Schizosaccharomyces pombe: one gene and its partners. The gene in region 1 interacts genetically with each later gene. Each region holds a gene or a part of one and is shown in the gene's direction. Other genes may lie near its edges.

Region 1 (5,558 bases):
GGAATATATGTTTTACCAATGCATCGATTATCGTCTTGTCGTTCCTAAACATATTTTTGCTAGATGGTCTCTTTTAGTTGGTGAATGTTGTGCTCACGCGACTGCACGTTATGATTCCACCGATCCTAATGTTGCCTCATTTGGCAGCGTCGCACAATATTGGGTCTCTTTGTTTTCTAATGTTCAATCTTCTCTAGATGATCTTTTTTCCATTGCCTGTTTAACGAAGATAGCACATCGCAGAATGAATGCTAATGCTGCTTTGAAGAATCAGGCTACGAGGAAGCCCTCCTCTTCTCCTCAAACAACTCAAGACTCATCACCTATTCTTACGATGGCACCTTCTACTCCAGTATCTGTTGGCAGTACCCCTCCATCCACTCCATCTGTTTTACCCATTGCCAAACAACTGGCTCCTATGAATGTCTGTAAAGCACATATTCAGGCTTCAAATCAGTCCCGCACTTTGACTACTGCTTCGCCACCCGAACAAATACCGCTTATGGAACCGCAAGTTTATGTAAATCCTCAAGTATTACCGGGTCGGTTGTCAAGCCTTTCTAAGCCAGTTAGTCTACCACCAACTCCTTCTTCACCAAAGGTTGGAGTATATCGGCCAATGACTTCTAAGTCCAATGGAGGTGTTGCTTACTGCTATAATGCTCAAAAATTGAACAATGCTACTGGTCCAGTTACATTTAATATGCCTTTTGCAAGCGTCTTACCACTTGCCGTATCTGTGAGTTGTGATCTGGGTACAGCGTCTGCATATGTCGCGTCCCTCCCTCAACCTTGTTCTCAAAAAAGGCATTTAGAAGAAGACTACTCATGTTTAACGGAACACAGTGCTAAGCGTCGCAGTTACTTTTAATTATCAAGCCCAATCTGCGCTGTCTTCGCCGCTTCTTTCAAAAACTATAATATTTAATGAATAATTTCATAATACTGATGCCATTTTAACAGCGGATGTCAATAAATACCGATAATGTTTTCTTTCTATTGATTTATCTATTCAAATTGTGTGGAAGATAATCATGATATGGGAAACTTGATTAGGTTTATATTACTACCTTCTTTTCATATCTAGACTTGTCAATGTTTTGATTAAAAATCAAATATTGTTGTCGTTTCTATGAATCTTTTTTTAACATTCTAATAGCAAAACGATGTATATATGGTATGAATGAATTAACGATTGGCAACTATATTTACTTATGCATCTTGTAAATTGATATCAGTAGAGCAAGGTATTCAAAAAAGATAATTTTGTTGATTTCTTATGGCCATAAACTTGTCAAATAGTCAAACTATTTAGAGATTATGTATGTGCTCATTAAGATAGTTATATATTTTAGGCAGGTGAATGTAGCCATTTGAAATCTACTACTGAGCTCCAATCCTATTTGAAGGCTCTAAGAGTCCTTTCAATCATTTTTTAACAGAGTTGTCTAAGTAATATTTTTTCAACGATTAAACTGTGAAACATTGAACTAAAATATCTTGATCATTTACAAAAGCAGTAATTGCTACACCGTACTACTAGTAGAGCCAATTTTGATTACGGTCTTTAAAACAATGTTGAATACACTAATTGTAAGCGATTTTTGTAAAAACTAATAATTATACGTATCTTCTTGAACATCACGAAAATTAACTGATATTTCCCTAAAGTACAGTTGCAAGTAGGAAGGATTAAGACAAAACAACAAATTATATACTAAAAATTTTACAAATGTTAAAATCAATTTCACATATATATTTTGTTGTAATTAAATGCACTCAAATACTATAGCTTACAAGTTTAGGGAGCATTACGGAGAACATCCCACATATGCTGTTCTATGAATGGGGTTTGGATTTGGCCATCACCACTTCACCGATTTACTGGTTCTTTTGAATAGTTGAAGTGTATGAGTACAATTTCAGAAGTTGGACCTTGGGAGCTTGGTCTTTCCTTAGGATCAGGAGGACCAAATTCATCACGTTTAGCCAAACATCGTGAAACTGGGCAATTAGCCGTAGTAAAACCGATTGTAGGATGGTCCGAGCTTACTTCGAGCCAACAGGCTAGGATAGAGGGTGAATTAGTTTTGCTTCGATTGATCGAGCATCCTAATGTTTTGCAGCTCATAGATGTGATTTCAGCCCAGGAGCAACTCTTTGTCGTAGTCGAATATATGCCAGGTGGTGAGCTTTTTGACTGCATGCTTCGTAAAGGAAGTTTTACTGAGCAAGATACGGCAAAGTTTCTATGGCAGATTTTGTGTGGATTGGAGTATTGTCATAAACTTCATATCTGCCACCGGGATTTAAAGCCAGAGAACTTATACTTGGATGCCCATGGTTCTATCAAAATCGGTGAATTCGGTATGGCGTCTATTCAACAGCCAGGAAAGCTTTTGCAGACTTCCTGCGGGTCTCCCCATTACGCATCCCCAGAAATTATTATGGGGCGTTCATATGATGGTTGTGCTAGCGATATTTGGTCATGTGGAATTATATTTTTTGCTTTGTTAACAGGGAAATTACCGTTTGATGATGACAACATTCGTTCTTTGTTGCTAAAAGTCTGTCAGGGTCAATTTGAAATGCCATCAAATATCTCTCCTCAAGCCCAACATCTGTTGTACCGCATGCTTGATGTTGATTCATCTACTCGAATTACCATGGAACAAATTCGTGAACACCCGTTTCTTAGTTGCTTTGTTCATCCCAATATTTCTATTCCAATCATATCAGCCCCTATACAACCCATTGATCCATTAATAGTGCAGCATCTCTCTTTAGTTTTCAGATGTTCCGATGATCCTATGCCCTTGTATGAAAAATTGGCATCTCAATCACCCTTGGTTGAAAAAACTCTATATACTCTACTGAGCAGACACTTGCATCCGCCTTCCAGCGCTGCAGTTGATCGCAACCGCGCTGTGGTCGATGATCTCCTTGGTACAGCAGCATCCAACGGGCAGCAAATGGACGAGGAAGAAATTGAACAAGCTATCAATATTCCTACTTTAGCGCCTTATCCAATTTCTTATGCTGCAGAGTCTGTTCCTCGACCTGCTACTTCTGCATCGCCATTTCTTACACCTGTTACCACTTCTGGCACTTTTAATTACTCTTTTAATGCTACCAACCCCCAATCCATACTTCAACGACCAGCCACTACATCTTCTGCTGTTCCTCAACTCCCAAAATCAGTTACCCCAGGACTTGCATATCCCCACGATAGTTCAATGCTGTCATCAAATTACCGACCTCCTTCTGCATTATCTCCTCGCAACTTTAACGTTTCTATAAACGATCCGGAAGTTCAACTAAGTCGTCGCGCTACTTCACTGGATATGTCAAATGATTTTCGTATGAATGAGAATGACCCTAGTATTGTTGGTAATTTAGCAGCTTCCAATTTCCCGACAGGTATGGGACCTCCAAGAAAGCGTGTCACTTCTAGAATGTCCGAACACACTGGTAATCGAGTCGTAAGCTTCCCGCGCGGCAGTGCTTTTAATCCAAGAGTTACTCGCTTCAACGTAGGAAATGAACAATTCTCTAATAATATTGATAATAATAACTATAATCAACCATACGCAAATGCAACCATGAACAACTCTCGTCGTCTTCGTACCCCTAGTGGGGAGAGATCAATGCGTGCTGATCTCTCTCAATCACCAGCCTCTTATGATTCGTTGAATGTTCCCAAACATAGAAGAAGACAATCGTTATTCTCTCCTTCTTCTACAAAGAAAAAGCTTTCCGGCTCACCTTTTCAACCAAAACGATCATTTTTAAGGAGATTATTTAGTAGTGAGCCTTCTTGTAAATGCGTCTATGCCAGCTTGGTTGCTTCAGAATTGGAACATGAAATTTTAGAAGTTCTTAGAAGATGGCAGCTTCTTGGTATCGGCATTGCTGATATTATATATGATTCTGTGAGTGCTTCGATATCTGCTCGTATTAAACGACAAAATTCACTTAATCTTAAACCGGTTCGGTTTAGAATATCGGTACTGGCTGAGTTTTTTGGTTCACAAGCTGTCTTTGTGTTGGAAAGCGGTTCTTCTACAACTTTTGACCATTTGGCTACAGAATTCCAGCTGATTTTTGAAGATAAGGGGTTTTTGGATAATTTGGAACTCTCTTATTTTCAAGCTTCGGCATCCAGACCTGTTTCTCGAATGAGTGTAAGTAGTAGTCCTTTTGCTGTATTTCGTCAACGACAATCCGTCCAAAGTTAAATTCTTTTATTATTATTATTATCATTTTTTTTTGATTCTCCAAAACCTTTGCAAACTTCATTTTTCTCGTGATGCTTTGGAAAAAAAAGGATTATCAAAAAAGCTAATCGTTTGATAATTGAACATAATGTATACTCGTGGAAGTATTGGAACTTTTTGAATTAAGCTTTCATTTTGTCCCATATTGGAACTCTTTTTATACACCAACAATATCTTTATAGACCTCCATTCTTTTTCTGATGTTTTTCTTTTACTTGTTCAACTTGCTATATGGAACCACGGTTATCCGGGAAGCAATAAATGCATTTAATGATTAAATTATATTTTGCTGCTCTGCTACAATGTTTCTCTTGGAACCTGTTGAGTTTTGTACATGTGATGTTGTACTTGGAACTTACTCCAATGATAATAACTTGCATGTCTGAAGCAAGGTAATTTTTGTATTTAGTATGACCGGCTATTGCTGGCATCTTTTTTGAAATACATTTTTCTTATTTAATTTAGGTATAAAATTTTTTATCTTAATCAATCTTTTCTTTTGGCTTTCTAACTCTTCGTTCTAAATCACAATCTTTTTAGTCTCGTTTATTTCAATCGATTTGACTTTTTCTTCATCTTATTTATCACAATCAACTAGCACTAGCGGATACAATTTCAATGAACTGCAGCATAGGTCGTATTATGTTTAGAAATTTATGACCCTTCTGCTTGTTCTGTATAAATTAAATTTATTCCAATTAAGTATTTGGTCGCTCAATGCTAATTAGTATGATATTAAATTTGAGTGGAATTCAATATGTAACCTGCTTACTTCGATAGTTGAAGAAATACATTTGAAGTTGTAGGATATCTAGGTTATCTGCATTGTACAAAGAGTCTGTTTTTTTGGAATGAAGTACGTGACATATTATTAAGCACTTTTAAAATTGTCTGTGCAATTGCCTTTTCAGTATTTTTAGCGAGGTTGCAACTTCAACTTATTACTTGAACAAGCAGCGAAAAACTGCAAGAAAATCGTGTAAAAACTAGTAAATACCATGGCTAATGTAGAGTTACAAACAAGTTTGGTAAGATCTTTTCCAAGCTCAAGCATTTAACATTTTTTAGGGAAAAATTCTTATTGAATTGTATACAGAACATGCTCCTAAAGTACGCATCAAGAATAAAGGACGAACAGTGTTGTTTGCTTTGAAAGTAGAATCGCTAACTTATAGACATGTCAAAATTTCTATACTTTAGCAAAAGAAGGATACTATGATGGTGTTATTGTAAGTTTTTTTCGCACTGTTTGCATCGTGCAAATAAGCATGTTGAAATATG
Region 2 (3,835 bases), 340 kb from region 1:
TTAATGAGAACGGCCCACCTTCTGGTCAGCCGAATGGTCACATTGAATCTGACAATGAGTCTAAATCTCCTTCACAAAAAGAATCGAATGAAAGTGAGGATATTCAAATAGCAGAGACCCCTAGCAATGTTACTCCGAAAAAGAAGCCTAGTCCGGAAGTTCCCAAACTTCCGGACAACAGAGAGCTGACGGTTAAACAAGTAGAAAACTATGATTCTTGGGAAGACTTGGTATCTAGCATCGATACAATTGAACGAAAAGATGATGGAACCTTGGAAATTTATCTGACTTGGAAGAACGGTGCAATATCTCATCATCCTAGTACTATCACCAATAAAAAATGTCCTCAGAAGATGCTTCAATTTTATGAAAGCCACTTAACGTTCCGTGAAAATGAATAATTTTTTTGTGTTCCTTTAAAAAATTCTTTTTCTTTTGTTTATAAATTAGATTTCGCTTTTTTCTGACGTTATTGCTTTTATCAAGTCCCGTGTCGTAGTATGAGTTCTTGTTCTCTTACTCGAAAAATGCATCTAACATTATACTTATACAAATTTTTGTTAGGCGCTTAACATCACATTCTAGTTTATGAACGCCTTTGTTTTCTTTCACATTGAATTGATTACGAGTGACTTGAGAAATGTAAAATACCTTTTGTCGTTATGGTTTGACATTCTAAATAACCTAAGGTTTGACATTCTAGATAACCTAATTTCTTTAATTTTACCATTTATTAATTTAGCATGCACTGCTCTTCATGCATTCAAAATCGTGTCTAATAATAACGTAATTTTACTCGTTAAATAAAGAATTTATGCATGCAAAATCGTTACTCATAAACCTCAGCAGATAAATTTGTTAACAAAAATGAGGGTGCATGAATATCTGCCTTCTCCGTTTCTTCTGTTCCATATGCTTCTAAGTTTGGGTTACCAACTGAACTCAAAGATAGGGTCAAGATGTAGTGTATCAAGTTTGAATCTTTATCAAGTACTATGTTGCCTCTTGAGAAATTCGTTTGAGAATAGCTGTATAGCTAAAGATAAATAAGGGTTTGAATGTAATTGTTGCTATGTAAACACAGTTGTAATTATAGATTTTTAATTGTTGCTGCTTTTGTACATTAGCAAAAAAAAATACAAGCAAGTTATGATGAAGAAGTCTGGTTATGCTATTTTTCTAAGAAGCTGGGATAAATTCATATTTTGTTCCTCTTTTTTTTTTTTTTTAAATATGTTTATGTCAGATTGGCAGATTTACCATATAAACACATAATGGCAAATTATGGCAAACTTTGCAAATGAACATGTATTTATCGAATTTCCTTGTTATCTTTTTTTATTGCTAGCAACACATGAAGACATCAGTCCCCTCTCGGCAATACATATTATCGATTGACACTACTGTATGCTGAGACTGAACAACAGAGTTCTCACTTGGACTTTTTGCTTGCTCCTCAAAGACTTTTAAAAAATTAAATAATAACTATTATATTTCTAACTGTTTTTAATCTAATTATTAGTCACAAGTTGCGCTTTTGTTATATATATGACTTCTATTCAAATTGTGTATACCTCTTTGAACTGCAACGTACTGTGGCTAATTATAATAATATTTAATGCTAAATGTTTTTAACGATGTTGATTGATAAAAAACCGCGTAATCATCAGAAAAGGAAGGATGCTTTTCTTTGCTATTCAAAACAAAGGGACGTAATTGTGCACTGTAACATTGCAATACGGTAGATTGTTCATTGACCCAAAATCACTAGACTTAACCAGTTTTATAATTTGCCTAGTAATCCTTGAAGTGTAATGATAAATTCAAAAAGCAAAAAGAAGGAATCAAATGCCCTCGTTTTAAAGTCGCTTTTGCGGGAACCTTACAACAAAGTTTGCGCGGATTGTAAGCGCAATGAACAACCACGATGGGCAAGTTGGAACTTGGGTGTTTTCATTTGTATCAGGTAAGTAATAGCTGCTTAAAATTGAAATCATTAACACTTGTTAGATGCTCAGGAGTGCATCGAAGTCTTGGAGTTCATGTTAGTCGTGGTATGATTACCTAGGATACAAAATTTAATGTTAAAAAACTCAGAATCAGAAATTAACAGACAAAACTAGTAAAATCTGTTGATTTGGATTCATGGACAGATGAACAAACTGAAAATATGACAAGATGGGGAAATGAACGTGCTAATTTGTAAGTTTGTCTACTTTTCAAAAAAACTTTGCGCTCACGTCCTAAAATATAAAAACTAACAACTTTAATAGGTATTGGGAAGCCAAACTTGCGGGTGGTCACGTTCCCTCTGATAGGTAGGTTTTTATTGATAATCCTTAGCATAGCTGGCATTGAATGTTATCTTTCTAGGCTACATACCCTTTACACGTTGCTAGCAAATTGGAAGCTTCTTTTTTGTTTTTTTTACTGCATATTTTCTGACCTAGATTTAGTAAAATTGCGACTTTTATAAAGACGAAATACGAATTTAAAAAATGGGTACTCTACCCTGAAATTCCTTCTCCGGAAACGCTAAAACCGGAACAGAATACCAGACCTGTTTCAGAAGTCAACGCCTCTTTAGATCTTAATACTGCTTCTCGATCTTCCAGTGCTCACTCAGTTAAAAGCACTTCTTCTGCTACAGTTACCAACGTTACTTCCAAGAAAGAAGCTATATCAGCTACCACTTCTTTAGCCCAGTCGTCTCCTAATTTAGCTTCTTTATCCAAGCAACCTTCTACTGTGCATGCTCCTTCGACTAGACAACGAGATTTAAAGTCTTCAATTCTCTCCTTATATGCATCTCCACGACCACAAGTAAGTTCTTCAAGCATAACCACCAATGCAACATACCAAAATCTACCGTCCCCAGTTTCAACTAGTACTACGTCTAGCCAACCTTATGGTGCTTTTCATCAACCGGCTACGACAGGATCCTCCTTTGTGGCAGATAAGTGGAAGATGCCTATGTTCACTTCTAATGTGACCAGTGCACAACCATCTGCTAGAGCATCACCCGTTCAATCCAATTCTTCTCGGCCGCGATCTTCTTTAGACAGTAAGATTATTAATTCTCATGATGTTTGGAAATAGCCTTTAGTGACGCTTATACAAATTAACAGAGGTTTTTACTACTTATTTTGAAATATTTCATTAATTTAGCTATTTAAGTTCATCAATCGATGTCGGCATTTATGGATTCCTATATTCAACCTTCATTATAATACATTTTCTACTTTTCAGTAAATATAAATGACATAAATGTATTTATTAGGTCTATTATCGCTGAAAGTTTATTAAGTATTAAAAGCTAGCACACATTGTATGTATTCCGTAAAAAGATGCCTACGATATTTGGGAAAATTGCCTTGATCAATTTCAACTTTCCCAGAAATTTGAAAGATTTGATTTACATGAAACAAACCAGTGGAATAAAGAATGTCCCTCAATCTATTAATGTTAGTTGTACAACAAATGTTAGATTTGCTATACGCCCGTAAAGAAGTTAACACTGAAAGGAGCGGAGTAGCGAATTTTGAGACATGGAAATAATATGGACGAATGTAGAAAAGAAAAAAGAAAAAAGAAAAAACAAGAAAAAAAACAGGATCAACTATATTAACCCTTGACCTCCTGAGGTTTTAAGCAAACAAGTTTACATATGCTTGTTGTTCATTCAACATAATAAAAGAAGGTAAAAACTAAATTTCTTCTTTCACGTTACAATTCCAACCATTGTTTTGCTCTGACAACATAGACAAACTAGCTCCCAAACACCATCCAAGTTCCTTGTTGTCAATTTTCTTAGCAGTATGGAGCTGTCGGTTAT
Region 3 (4,618 bases), 620 kb from region 1:
AGATCAGAAGTATGATTGTAGCAAGCAATAGGCGCCAGAGCGAAGCCGGAGTTCCGTTTTTTTATAAAATTGTCGTTTCCGTTCGGAAGGATATTAATTCTGATCTTCATCTTATCATACATGCTACTATAAAATGATTTAGACTTCTTTTTAAAGTGAAACTGAGGTGGGATATCGTTTGGATCAGAAGATGGATTTTTTCGATAAAGTCTGCTATATGGATTACCACCATTTATGCCATCATTAAGGGTAGCAAATTTCGATTCTGTGGAAGATGACTCTTCCGACATAGATGTTAAAGTGCTTGATAGTGATGAGTGAGTAGTCGATAATTCCTGTAAGCTATGAGCATGATCGAGAAGGTAATCAGATTTATCGCTCTCTTCACTCTCAATGGAGTTGGTAAATGAAATCACAAAGTTTTCGGGTAAAGTTGTAGATGCCGTTAATAATAAGCTACTTCGAGAATATTTAATGTAGGGGTATGAACGGACGGGCTTTAAGTAATTCGAAATAACTTGATCATCCTGTTTATTCTAATATCATTAGTTAGCGTACACCATATTTGAATATTTAGAAAAATAAGGATTTTTTTCTATTCTTTTTTTTAAAGAAAAAAAGATAACTAAAAAAATTAAAGGCAGAAAACATACCGAGGTTAATTCCAATGAATCTGTGCAAAATAAATTATTAGAGTTCTCTTCCGTGATCACAGCCATTGCTCTAAGAATTGTGATTGTAAAAGCTTCTTTCCAAAAAAAAAGTAAAAAAGATATATTAATGAATTAAGTGATAATTAAGGAGAATAAATAAAACGAATCCAGAAATTAAGTGAAACCGATTATAATGACGGGAAAGAAAATCAAACAAATACCGCTTCCCTGATAATGACTGACAAGAAATAAAATAAACACCGCAAATAAGTAAACAACCAAAAAAATTGTAATCGCGCAATGTCTATGCAATACAAGCAAAATAAAAAAATGTTTAACTAAAACGAAGCGAAACGATTATGCATCCCAATGTCGATCCTGATCGCAAAAAAAATTGGTAACGACAATTCCCAATTTAGTAATGTTTATATAGCAAATCTCACGAGCCGAATAGGTTCATCTAATAAATGTCCGAGGAGATAAACCGGAGTTGGTTCGATGAGGAAATTAATGTGAATAAAATATGGTTCCACGTTTCGATATATATTAACGTCGAAAGCAAATACCGTAGAATGCCGGACTGCGTTGTTTTTTTTAAAAATTCATAAACTCCAATGCCAAAATGTTCTATAGAATCGGCAAACTAAAATTTAAGATCGAATTGAACATAAAAACGAAGCGTATTTATATACTGATTGCAGGTCCTTTGCTTGAATCCTATCAATAAATTGTATGATGCTATCTCGTCAAAAAAGTAATGGCTTTATAATAGTGTGGTTATCATTTTGTGAAAACATTACGCCATTAACTGCTTATTTATTTACGCTCCGATTTTTGCAGATTCCTATCCTAACGATCTTTATGATGCTTGTTATTAAATATATTTAGTCATCACCAGCAATTGCTTACTTGATAGTGGAGACGTTAAGGCGAGATAAGGTAGGTGTGTATTTGTAAGACTAAGCATATCGTTTTCCTTATGTAATTAATATTTCGTACTGGCAGCATATAAATTTGTTACCATTTTGAAGGCTGACTAACCACAAAACATTGGTTTTTGCAAGCTATGAATGCTTTGATTACCTAATTCGTTCAATAGAAAAATTTGTACTTCTTAATAGCTTGGATTTTTTATATCGTTCAATGTTATTGTGGGGAGTATCGAAAATCGCACACCAATGTTTCCGTATTAGTTTGAAAGAACTACGTTAACTAGATTCGGTTTTCGTAAATTAGTTTTAAAAAATATCATTAAATGGAAGTTTTTAAAATATCAATAGAGATTTGTTGTTTCAATATTTGGTATTAAGCATAATAAGTTTAACTGCACTCCAGTTGATGGGTACGACGAAACCTATCGAGTAACTTTCGATAAAGTATACACGTTTGTCACGCGTCGAGAGCGGTATTTTCAATTATTCTTATCCGACTGAATTTAATTAACTCAACTCGCTACTTCTTATTTTGAGTTGAGCGCACATAAGCTATTTTTTGAGCTACTAATTTAATAGATTGCTATAACGAAATTCAGCGGTGTCCTTGTGCATTTCATTTATCACGATTGTTTGAGGTTCGGTATTCGTGTAATTTTTAATGCCATGTATATTATACATGGACGACACTAGTTGTCTCATTGACTTGCCAACATCTCTGCAATTTAATAAACATATTTTGCCCACTCGAACGAAGCCTGTCGTGAAGCCATATTTACTCCCCGAAAAATCAACTTCGGATTATGAAAACAGTGGCAAAGGCACTGTAGGGCAAGTACTGCAAAGCCTTCAGCGAGTTCGTCGTGCTTTACAGTTGCGCAGTTTGGATGACAATCAATCAACCGATAAATCACACCATGTTCAATTTCAAGATATCGTATACAGGTCAAATACTAGTGCATCAGAAATCCATTTTCAAGCTGAAAATGCTCCTTTAGTGCAATGGTACTCAGACATTTTCAAAGTACTAGTTAAAGCACCGGTTATACAGTTTGAGGATCAGTGCTTGCAATGGTTGAAAATGTTGAATACTATTCCACCGTCATATTCATTTATAACTATAAAGTCTAAAGATACAGTTGAACTTGGATTGGAAGAGATTTATCAACAATGTGTCCAAAATGATGGAGCGTCCGCTATAAAATTAAAGCTGAAGGGATCAAAGGTTATTACTGAATCGTCTGAAACTAATTGTAGGGATTCAATTTACTACATCCCTGCTCGTTCCTCTTTTATTATGGGTGACGTGGAGAAAACTGCGCAAATCCTTTTAGAAGCAATTGATGGCCATCTAGAAAAACCCAAATGCATAATTATAGACCCTCCATGGCCGAATAAATCTGTAGCTAGGAGCTCTGTCTATAAGGTGAACAGGAACCTTGGATATTTAAAAGCATTACCAATTCAGGAATCGTTAAGCAAAACCGGCGTCGTGGCAGTTTGGTGCACAAATAAGGAAAAGTATGTAAATTTTGTTAAAAAAGTGCTTTTTAAAAAATGGAATTTAACGCTTGTCTCTACATGGACATGGCTTAAAATAACGGCATTTGGCGAACCATTATTTGATGTTTATTCAAACATGCGCAAACCTTGGGAACAGCTTTTGATTGGAGTTACTTCAGAATATACATCTGTATATAGTGATAAAATCCCTCCAACGTTTACAATAATTGGTATTCCAGATTATCATTCCAGGAAACCATCATTAAAACCTTTCATTTCACGTTGGTTTAATTGTTCGGCAAATGAATCGCTTCCTGTTTTAGAAATTTTTGGCCGTAGTCTCACACCTAATTGGATTACATGGGGGAGGGAACCTTTGTTGTTTATGCATGAATTATACTGGTCATCAGACAATTGATGGAAAATGCTACATTGTTCGTATTGTGGTAAATTTTTGACCATGGTTTAAATGTTGTTTTATTTTTTCTTCCATTCTCTGTTTAAGATATCTCAGATCACGAATTACTACTGAAAGACGTAGAATAAATCAATACGTTTTAACGTTACCTGATGGTTTATGAGTAAACTACTTTATGCTATAAGAGCTCAAACTCATTCACTGTAGTATAACTTTATTAGGAAAAGCTCACTACTAATGTTCCTAAAATACTAAACTACCAAAGATACAATTTTTTTATAAAAAACCACTTTCGACTTTTTATTGCTAAAAGCTCAAACGGCGTGATGAGAAAAAAACTATTGCGAAGGTTTTACTTTTAAATTTTCTTAATATACCATAGGTCGACATCGTTTTGTTTTTCTACTGATATTCTTATGATGAGCTGTTGATATGTTTACTGGCTTTACCAAGCTTTCATTGACTAATGTATTAAGCACAAATCGGCTGCTATCCCTTCATTACCGATATCCTAAGTACTGTGTTATGTAGATACCGATGCTGAAAAATTACGTAAACCAAAATAACAATATTTAATCATAGATGGCGTTGTGTTTTTAAAACAGGTTGCGTCATACATGAAACTTTTATATTTGCTCAGAGAAAAAAAGAAAATATTCTCCTTTACAAGTTAGTTGGTAAGCAATATAAATCTTTAATTTTGTATCAAGTAGACCGCTCATAAAATGCCTTGGTTCGAAGACCGAAAAGCGGAAGTGAAATGTCATACCCTAAACATACACCGTAGCACAGTGTACCGCACTACTGGTTAATCCACGACAAGCAAAAAATTTTCCAACAACTCTTTCGGATTTGCCAGTTCTCGTCCTATAGGATTGTTAGAAACTGCCTAACACAGAAACTGAATTCTAAAAATTAGAATAGATTTATTTAATTTTTTTTATTTATCTGTAAAAATTTTAGTGTACATTGTGCTTTGACGAAAGCGTAAGTATTTTTTTTTCTGCTCAGGTTTTAAATTCTTTCTTGAGACCAACCACTCCTTAGAAGCAATATCTGGGAATCGCTAGTCTTAAGCCTCAAATCTGTGGAATTGTTGATATAAGCGATGT
Region 4 (3,262 bases), on another chromosome or scaffold:
AACTGGAACAGGAGGCTACTAGCCTTCCCAAAATTGTACTATCGGAACGTCAGTTTTGCGATGTGGAACTCATTTTGAACGGAGGTTTCAGTCCATTAGACGGATTCATGAACCAAAAGGATTATTTGAATGTCGTCGAGAATTTGCGTCTCAGCACTGGCGAGGTCTTTCCCATCCCTATCACCTTGGACCTCAATGAATCGCAGGCCGATTCTTTGAAGGCCGGTGATCGTGTTGCATTATTAGATCCTAGGGATGGGCAAACTGTTATTGCCATTTTGACTGTTGAGGACAAGTATACCCCAGATAAGGCGAACGAAGCTGAAAAGGTATTTGGTGCTAATGATCGCGCCCACCCTGCCGTCGACTACTTGTTTGGTCGTGCTGGAAATGTGTATGTTGGTGGTAAACTTCAAGCCGTTACTCCTATTCGCCATTTCGATTTCGTAGAGTACCGCTACTCACCTGCTCAACTTCGCTCTGACTTCCAGCGTAACAACTGGAATCGCGTCGTTGCTTTCCAAACCCGTAATCCCATGCATCGCGCCCATCGTGAGCTTACCGTCCGTGCTGCTAAGCAACACGGTGCCCGTGTGCTCATTCACCCTGTCGTCGGTATGACCAAGCCTGGTGATATCGATCACTTCACCCGTGTGCGTGTTTACGAGGCTATTCTCCAACGCTATCCTAAGGGTTCCGCCAAGCTCTCTCTTCTTCCCTTAGCCATGCGTATGGCTGGTCCTCGTGAAGCTTTATGGCACGCCATCATTCGTAAGAACTACGGTGCTTCTCATTTCATCATTGGTCGTGATCATGCTGGTCCTGGTAAGAACAGTCAAGGCGAGGATTTTTATGGTCCTTACGATGCTCAGTACCTTGTTGAACAATACGCTCAGGAAATCGGTATCACCATTGTTCCTTTCCAAATGATGACTTACCTTCCTGATGAGGACATCTACAAGCCAGTTGACAAAGTCGAACCCGGTACCCGTACTTTGAACATCAGTGGTACTGAACTTCGTCGCCGTCTTCGCGTCGGTGCCAACATCCCTGAGTGGTTCTCTTATCCAGAGGTTGTCGCTATTTTACGTCAATCCTATCCTCCCAAATACTCTCAAGGATTTGTTTTGGCTGTTCCTGCCACCTCCGATAAACTTCTCCCCAGCGCTCTAGTTTCAGCCTTGAACGAGGATGGTCGCCGCCATGTCACTCTTTTACCTCGCTTAGATGCTATTTCAGTGTTTTACGCCCAAGAATTGCAACGTGCTGGTGCTGCCGTTGTTGTTTCTCTGGCTGATGCTGATGCATCTGTTAAAGTACCTGCTGAGTGGACTACCGTAAACATCAAGCCCAAAGACTCTGTTTCTGAGGTTACTTTTGCTGTCCTTTCACAATTGTCTGACGAAGGCTATCTTTAAAATAATGTTTTTTGACATATATATATATATATATATATACATATATCCATTTTTGTTCTTTTATGTTCTACTTGTCTATTAAATAATAAAATAATTGCTGCAGGAATGACAACACTCCCTCATTAGAACTTTGCCATTTGTAGATGTAACTAAGAATGCAACTCAATTAAATTTCGCTAAGGACATGTTAGTAATTAATTAGCGATAGGCTTCTTAATAACAAAAGGTAGGAAATTCAATCCGAAGCCGAGGGGAATTAATTTATTATATATGTCAGATATACATAGCAGACTTTAGCAATTGCAATACATGCCAATGCAATGTTTTATTTTAATTCAGAAGTCATTATAACGTTAAGCCTATGCTCTCACTTAACGCATGCCTGGATGTAATACATTGTTACATTTACTTAAAAAAACTGGGCTTATAAAAAATATATATATAGGTTTTCTTTAAATTAACATTTCCTAAACTAAACTATTGATTTAACAAAAGAAATTGTTACATCTATTGTTATACCTAGGTATCCAATATAATAACTGTATACTACCTTACTTTTCCTACCAACAAAATCCCCCTTGAAACTAGTGCTCTCTATTTCTAAATAAAAGTAAGACCTTTAACTACTCAAAATGCAATCTATGCAACCTTCAACTGTGGATAAGCGTAAGTTCTATATTGTATGAATTCAGTCATTAACACTGAACAGTAAAAATGGGCGCCATTATGGGTTCAGCTGCTGGACTTGGCATCGGGTTTTTATTTGGAGGAGTAGCAGTTTTGCGCTATGGGCCTGGTCCACGTGGATTCTTAAGGACCTTAGGTCAATACATGTTAACATCTGCGGCCACTTTTGGCTTTTTCATGTCCATCGGCTCTGTAATTCGCAACGAAGATATACCACTAATACAGCAGTCAGGCTCACATTGGAATCAAAGATTATTAAATGAAAATGCAAATTCCAGTCGTATTTTTGCCTTGGCTATGCAACAGGCCAAAAGTTCTCCACGTAAATCAAATGAAGTTGCTGAGTGCTAATTTCGTTTAATCCGATTATAATAAAAGTATCATACTATCATTTTGTTAGTATATGAGGTACAATATTTGTTTCTCCTGAATTCTGAGTTAAAGATGTACTGATGATTGTACTATCATGCATTTAAACTAAAAAGCTTTGGCCGCTACATCAAAGGACTTTTGCATTTTTCTGATAGTTCATGTTTAAAAAAGTCTTTATACCATATTGTTAATATTTTGATGGCGATTTAATTTTCCTTAAAATTTTTACGATTTAAAGATTTGGGTAATTTGCTAGGTGGTAAATTGGTAAATTAGTTTGTTTCGATGAATAATATTTGTAGCAATAGTTACAAAAAATGATCGAAGACAAGCTATTACAAATAAGCTAATTATTATTTGATCATAAAGATATTTAGAAACAATACTTGTGCCTTAAAACTTGCAATATCAATAATGCTTGTCATAAGGAAGATTCGGTTACATATGGGTTGAAGATACATATGCTCATTAGTATTATTAAATGTATTATATATGCTTGATGTTATCACTTCTTTAGATGCTAATTGTAATGTAAATGCGTCTGTTGTCTCTTTTTGTACACGCATTATTAGTTGGTATCTTATATAAAACTTCGATTCAATCTCCAACTGGTAAAGCAAAATGCAATTAATGCCAGAATAAAATAAATATGCAAGTCCATAAACCGTTGTATGCACCATTCATAAGCAGAATTTACTGCGTTCATAAAGTTGCGAAAGCATAGTCTTCAAAATCTTTCGTTTGCTTCTTAGCCAAAATTCAAAAAAAAACTTGAAAGCACCTGC

The links.
Region 2: mutations in cdr2 (region 1) and SPOM_SPAC824.09C together harm fitness more than expected from each alone (negative genetic interaction), as found in Schizosaccharomyces pombe (one large-scale study listed by BioGRID).
Region 3: mutations in cdr2 (region 1) and ime4 together harm fitness more than expected from each alone (negative genetic interaction), as found in Schizosaccharomyces pombe (one large-scale study listed by BioGRID).
Region 4: mutations in cdr2 (region 1) and mgr2 together harm fitness more than expected from each alone (negative genetic interaction), as found in Schizosaccharomyces pombe (one large-scale study listed by BioGRID).

The regions. Positions count from the first base shown.
Region 1 is NC_003424.3:1,362,936-1,368,493, forward strand, and holds cdr2 (serine/threonine protein kinase Cdr2), read left to right. Parts: upstream 1-1,860; 5' UTR 1,861-1,910; coding exon 1,911-4,238; 3' UTR 4,239-5,033; downstream 5,034-5,558. Other genes in the region: cyclin Pas1, read left to right, coding at 1-871; cyclophilin family peptidyl-prolyl cis-trans isomerase Cyp1, read left to right, coding at 5,276-5,305, 5,346-5,387, 5,453-5,506. UniProt on the Schizosaccharomyces pombe protein: Acts as a mitotic inducer. In G2 it negatively regulates wee1, a mitotic inhibitor. Also has a role in cytokinesis where it required for proper septum formation.
Region 2 is NC_003424.3:1,699,581-1,703,415, reverse strand, and holds SPOM_SPAC824.09C (GTPase-activating protein), read left to right. Parts: upstream 1-1,792; 5' UTR 1,793-1,814; coding exon 1,815-1,966; exon of another isoform or gene 1,967-2,010; coding exon 2,011-2,054; exon of another isoform or gene 2,055-2,122; intron 2,123-2,123; coding exon 2,124-2,202; intron 2,203-2,273; coding exon 2,274-2,318; intron 2,319-2,456; coding exon 2,457-3,099; 3' UTR 3,100-3,283; downstream 3,284-3,835. Other genes in the region: heterochromatin (HP1) family chromodomain protein Swi6, read left to right, coding at 1-401; Golgi nucleoside-diphosphatase Gda1, read right to left, coding at 3,708-3,835. UniProt on the Schizosaccharomyces pombe protein: GTPase-activating protein for the ADP ribosylation factor family.
Region 3 is NC_003424.3:746,031-750,648, reverse strand, and holds ime4 (mRNA (2'-O-methyladenosine-N(6)-)-methyltransferase), read left to right. Parts: upstream 1-1,999; 5' UTR 2,000-2,246; coding exon 2,247-3,506; 3' UTR 3,507-4,112; downstream 4,113-4,618. Other genes in the region: serine/threonine protein kinase Ppk8, read right to left, coding at 1-536, 654-719; bifunctional carbamoyl-phosphate synthase/aspartate carbamoyltransferase Ura1, read left to right, coding at 4,615-4,618.
Region 4 is NC_003423.3:1,569,641-1,572,902, reverse strand, and holds mgr2 (protein Mgr2), read left to right. Parts: upstream 1-1,983; 5' UTR 1,984-2,050; coding exon 2,051-2,084; exon of another isoform or gene 2,085-2,127; coding exon 2,128-2,456; 3' UTR 2,457-2,699; downstream 2,700-3,262. Other genes in the region: sua1 (sulfate adenylyltransferase), read left to right, coding at 1-1,418; SPOM_SPBC27.05 (uncharacterized protein), read right to left, coding at 2,831-3,157. UniProt on the Schizosaccharomyces pombe protein: Required for cell viability in cells lacking mitochondrial DNA.